Rattus norvegicus: one gene and its partner. The protein of the gene in region 1 binds, or shares a complex with, the protein of each later gene. Links are inferred from orthologs where the notes say so. Each region holds a gene or a part of one and is shown in the gene's direction. Other genes may lie near its edges.

Region 1 (2,526 bases):
GGTGTGAGCCACCACCACCCAGATCAGTTTGTTTTTTTTTTTTTCTTTTTTCTTTTTTTCGGAGCTGGGGACTGAAAGTTTATTTTTTTAAGATTTACTTTATTTTTAATTATTTGTGTGGGTATGTGCACATACATGAAGACAGGTGCCCTTGAAGACCAGGGGCACTGTGTCCCCCTGGAGCAGGAGTGATATGGATTTGTCACCTCCTGACACGTGTGCTGGAAATTGAACCCAGCTCCTCTGGAAGAGCATCCAGTGCTCTTAACTGCTAGATCACCTCTCTAGCCCCCTTCCTTTTCCATAGTCTTAGTCTAGGCTAAACTTAGTCTAGGCTAAACTGGCCCAGGCAGGCCTCAAACTTATAGCAGTCCCCCTGCTTCATCTGGATGAAGTGGCTTACCATTACAAGTTTCGCAAGAGTTGTGTGGCCTTGTGCTTCCTACCATTTACCCATCCATCTAGACTGGCTTGGTCCTTCTTTATCCCAGTGCTGCTCTATCTGCTTTTATGTTTTCTGTTGCCCAGGACACTGAGGATGATCTTGTACCCCCCCCCCTCCATCCTCTTCCAAGCGCTGGGTTGCAAGCATTCACCCCCACACTGCCTCTGGGCACTGGGGATTAGACCTAGGGCTCCATGCATGCTGGGCAAGTACTCTACCAGGTGAGTCACCTTGCCAGTACCAGCTCCGGCTTTTAATCAGGAGCCTGTGAAAGCTCGGCTCCAACTCAGGACAGTGTTCTCATGCAGCCATGGTGTGTGCTCTGTTGCAGATGAGGTCTCCCACCAGCTCTCCGAAGCATACAGGAAGGAGCTCCTTTTGAAGCACACCATTGGCGCAGAGCTGGCCCATACTGTAGACCGCAACCTCAGCCTGACCTACCTGTCCATGTGGCTGCACCAGCCCTACATAGAGAGCGACAGCAAGCTGCAGCTAGAGAGCATGCTGCTGGAAACAGGGCACCGGGCCCTTTGACTCCCTGGCCACCTTGCCTGTGACCACGGTCTTGGAGCTCCAGACCACTGGCTGTTGTGCCTCAAGGGTCCTGGGGTCGCTCTCCCCACTGCTGCAGCTGCCCCACTGCTCCGTCCCAGAGATCCTGAAGCTCCAGTGACATAAACAATGGCTGAGGGCCGAGTTTTGTAAACCGGCGGACTTCACTGTTACATCCTGGAGACAGCCTGAGTTTCCTAGAAGCTACTACTTTGTACCTGTCCTCCATTTGTCTGTTTTGTGGTCCTGGAAATCAAATCCAGACTTCATACAAACTGAATATTCAACTGCTGGTCCACACTCCCAACCCTGTGCTTAAAATCTGAAGAGAATGTTTTAGTTCTGAAACTATCCCAGAAATACCAGACGTGTAAAGTCTCCTAAGTGGGGACAGAGAGATGGTTTAGCAGTTGAGAGCACTTGTGAACTTCTGGTTTCCCCTGGCAGCCACACATATTTGCATGTGCATGTGTGCAAATGCACATGCACCCACAGAGAAATAATCTTTTTAAATTTTAGTTTTACTTAGGTATTTGTGTATAGGCCACATGTACAGATGACCAGGGCAACCACAAATGGGGGTGGGGGTGGGGTCCTTGGAGCTAGAGTTACAAGAGGTTGTCGGCCACCTGATTTGGGTGTCAGAAACCAAACTCCAGTCAGTCCTCTGGAAAAACAGTTCATGCTCTTAAGTGCTCAGTCATTTCTCCTATAGCTGGAAATATATATATTTAATATATAAAATATATTAATAAAATATATTGAAATACACTGTTTTTAATCCAATAGAATTAATTGAGTATAGTGTCACAAAAATGAAAACCACTTACCAAAACTTGCTACTGCTTGCATGAAAAGATGAACAAGCCAGTGAGACGACCAATAACTGCAGCTTGTTTCCATCTGGGGCCTGGATGTGCTGTGTCTGTTTGGCTTTCTCTCAGCCATTAGCATACTGCCTAAGTCCATAGAGAACTAACATTCCTCAGGGAGAGCTGCCTGTATAGTGAGGTCAACTGGCCCTCAGGAACGACCACTTGTACTTCCTTCACTCCTTCCTGATGGGGGCGCACTAAGACCACTGTTCCCATCTGGGGGTGGGCACTCTTGGGCCACTGCGCCCATCTTTTGGGGAATACCCAAGACTACCCTGCTCCTTCTCTCGTGTCTGTGTGTATGGGCACACGAGCTACATTGCATCTGCAGTGGGTGTGGGGCCTTGCCTTCTGCCTTGATACAGAGCCTCTTGTTCACTGCTGTAAACACCGGGATACCTGGCTTGCAAGCTTGTGTTTCTCCTGTCTCAGCCTCTATCTCCTTGTAGATGCCATGGGGGTTACCTACACTTGTGCTGTGCTATGCTGCTTCTAGGGATCTGGACTCAGTTCATCAGGTTTACACAGTGAGCGCTGTGCCCTCTGCTGCTCCCTTTTCCCAGAGGACAAAGGTCCAGAGTTAGACACGTTTGCTTGAGACATGACCTCACTCCACAGCCAGGTTGATCTGGACATGCTACAGTCTTTGACCAA
Region 2 (3,133 bases), on another chromosome or scaffold:
CTCATTGGGTAGAGAGACTTGGTATTCAAGCCTGATGACCTGGGTTCATTCCCCAGGACCCATGTTTCTGGGTGGGAGGACAGAATGGACACCACAAAGTAGTCCTCTGATCTCCACACATGTGCTCTGGCATGTGCATGCCCTTCCCCCATACTAAATTAAAAAGAATTTATAAAGTGAGATTAGAATGTAGCTCAGTGGTAGACCGCTTTCCTAACATGTCTAAGGGTTTAAGTCCCCTCTGAAACAAAACCTCAAAATGGCAGTAGTGATTTGAGAAGCCTTACCCCCCTATCTTTTCTGGGATACCACCTAACTCCCTACTTTTTCTACAGAGCCACCCTCCTCAGGGTTCGCAACACCATCAGCAGCCACGTGGAGCAGGTGTTTCAGACCTATGAGCAGCATGCGGACGTGCTTGACATCGATACTCTCCTGAGGCCCTCGGTTGTGAGCCCCTCCGTGACTGACATGTTGGAGTGGCTGCAGGACATTGACAGACATTTTCGAAGCTCATATCCTTTCAGTGCTTCCCGACCTCCCAGAGCTGCCCTACAGGTTCAGACTTCACGGGTCAGCAGGCTGCATGATTTGCTGCAGTTCTCTTTAACGCTCAATCTTAGATTCTTCTTGCATTTTTTTTAGTAGTCATTTCTTACAGTTTATCTGCCAGACACTGCTGTAAGTGCTGAGAGCAGGCGTAGAAAAGTGAGTGTATGGTGTCGGATGTGAGCTAAGAATGAGGGAGGACGAGTGAGGGAAGGTGGGCCGTGACTTTAGTAGTGTGGTCCTGGCAGGAACCCATGAGACAGTGACATCCTGAGACAGTGATACTCACGGCATTCGAGCCATGTGGATATTCAGAAGAAGAGTGGTCCAAGCAGAGGGTACATGGAGTGAAGGCCTGGGTGGGAGCATGTCTGGTTCATGTAGGAACTGACCACGAGGCTGGTGGGGCAAGGGCAGGGTGTGAGGATAGTGACAGAAGCCCTTCCCCACCCCCCTTTTGTTTTTGAGAAAGAACTTGAAGGTTTTGGCTGTTACTCTGAAATCAGAGGTCTCAGAAGTTTTAAGCAGAACCACGTGGTCAAGGTCTATGCTTAACAGTGCTGGGCCATGTTCTCAAGAACAGTTGGCATGGTCGGGAACAAGCCCGAGAGCAGAAAATTAGCCACAGGTCTGCCTTCTCCATTCTTGTCCATGACTGTCCTCTGACCCTGGTTTTGCTCCCTTTACTACTGCTCCTGGCTCTGCGTCTCAGACTCCCATGGCCTCCAGCTGGCTCACTTAGTGAGCTACAAATTCAGAGCTGAGCATGCACCAGCAGTGCCCACTGCGTTACTGTCCTTCATGTTGCGACCAAGTATCCATCACGAAACAGGACAGACAGATTTGTTTCAGGCCATAACTGCGAGGATATGTCCATCATAGAGGGGAGGGCACAGACAGGAGCATATGCCACTGGTCATGCTGTGCCTGCATCGCTCAGGAAGCAGGAAGGGAGTGCTGGCTGCTGGGGCTCTGTTCACTTCCTCTCTGTTCATCCTCAACCCCAGCCCACGGAACAATACCACATTCAGAGGGGTCTTCCCACTTCAGTTCAACCTTTCTGGAGACACCAGCACTGACACAACCTGTATCGTGTTTCCATGGCGATTCTAAATCCAGTCAGGTTGACAGAGGAGATTGTTGCCTGATCTGGAAAGGTGGGGATGGCCATCCTCATTTCCCTGTTTTCTATCATAACTACAATATCATTCTAGGTGTGCTAGTGGTGGCCACTAACACTGGTTGGCTCCACTACCCTTTTGTTTTTAGCCACATGGCTGAGATGGACCACATTCAACAGTAATCCCGTAAGATCACATGATCTGGTGACACAAGCATCTTGATTTAAATACGTTCGTTTCTTTTTCTGAGCAGTCCTTAACTTCTGGGAAGGTATCTGAAGAGAAAGCACCTCCTCTCCTCCATCCACTGGGGAGACTTAGCCAGCATCCAAGCACTGCCCAAGGCCTGGGACCAAATTTCAGAAGATGAGTGCCAAACCCTTGTGTCAGGTACTGGTGTCCGTCAGTCCCATGCTGCCTCCCCCCCCCTCCCCCCAGGCTGGCCTCTTTGGAGGCGTTAGACACTCCCTACTGTACTTTGGGGCCTTGACAAACCTGATGCCTTGTACCTTGCTTCCTGTTCTAGATATCCTGTTGAGTGTCTCCTTCTTCCTGGAGGAAGCAGGAAGCCGTGCAGTATCTGGAGATCTGGAGCACCGCAGTTGAGGGCTGCCATTGTTACCCTAGGCTGTTTCTAATTGAGGGTCAGTATTGCTGCACCCTGACTCACTGCAATACCACTGCCTCCGGTAGAGGCCACTAGGACCTCTCCATGGTAGGACATGGCCGCTGCACCTGCGGCTCTGAGAAGTGAAGGGAGGCGGAGGAGACAGGAGAGGTGGTGCTGAGAAACAGGGTCCATCAAAGCAGGAAAGGGCAGAAGGCAAAGTTGTGTGGACGCTGCTGCCTATCATCTGAACCATCTTCTCTGGTTGGCCCAGGTCCTGGTCTAGTGCATGTCAGTATCTCAGTCCTTAATGGCTTAAAGATATGAGTGGGTCTGGGAATCTAGGGTTGGAGCAGTGTGGGGTGGGTGCGGGGGGCAGACTCAATTCCCTACAGACCCCCAAAAAGGGAGGGACTGAAGGAAAGGGAATGTTTACAATGTTTACTGCTTCACAGAAGCGCATCAAGCCAATTTCCACTTCCAGAGTCAGCCACCAGGGGGCGATGGTGCAGCATGAATGGTTCTGAATGCCCTGCTCTTGTTGCTGTTGAAAAGTTAAGGGCAGGCTGGGGAGCTTGGGTATCCCACCCAGGACTAGAGGCAAAGACAGGTGGATCTCTGTGATTTTGAGATTAATTTGGTCTACATAACTCCAGGCCAATGAAGGTCACAAACTGAGACTGTCTCAAAAAAGAAAAGAGAGGTACCTGAGGAATAGTGAGGCTCCCCAGATGACAGGGCTAAGGGGCCTCTCATTGGCCACATCCCTCTGAGTTTGGGGTGTCTGGCCAGGGAAGAGAATGCCGGCTGTGATCGCTGGTTGTTATAGTCCGCTCGACACATGCAAGGCCACCTG

The links.
Region 2: the proteins of Cinp (region 1) and Airim are in contact, whole or in part, in a cryo-EM structure (PDB 8RHN), measured with the Homo sapiens proteins. The link is inferred for Rattus norvegicus from reciprocal best matches to the Homo sapiens genes CINP and AIRIM. Residues at the interface, in NP_116019.1 of Homo sapiens: Leu161, Leu162, Thr165, Glu169, Asp177, Leu178, Leu180, Ser181, Tyr182, Ser184, Met185, His188, Pro190, Tyr191, Val192, Glu193, Ser194; in NP_001289959.1 of Homo sapiens: Leu107, Gln110, Ala113, Ala114, Asn116, Leu117, Phe119, Val122, Ala124, Leu125, Phe128, Pro129, Asp130, Leu131, Arg134, Leu135, Lys138, Gln139, Ala142.

Annotation. Positions count from the first base shown.
Region 1 is NC_086024.1:135,706,043-135,708,568, reverse strand, and holds the end of Cinp (cyclin-dependent kinase 2-interacting protein), read left to right. Parts: exon of another isoform or gene 1-776; coding exon 777-979; 3' UTR 980-1,778; downstream 1,779-2,526. UniProt on the Homo sapiens protein: Component of the DNA replication complex, which interacts with two kinases, CDK2 and CDC7, thereby providing a functional and physical link between CDK2 and CDC7 during firing of the origins of replication.
Region 2 is NC_086023.1:142,486,338-142,489,470, forward strand, and holds the end of Airim (ribosome biogenesis protein C1orf109 homolog), read left to right. Parts: intron 1-335; coding exon 336-515; coding exon of another isoform or gene 516-645; exon of another isoform or gene 646-1,941; coding exon 1,942-2,060; intron 2,061-2,196; coding exon 2,197-2,276; 3' UTR 2,277-2,356; downstream 2,357-3,133. UniProt on the Homo sapiens protein: Part of the 55LCC heterohexameric ATPase complex which is chromatin-associated and promotes replisome proteostasis to maintain replication fork progression and genome stability.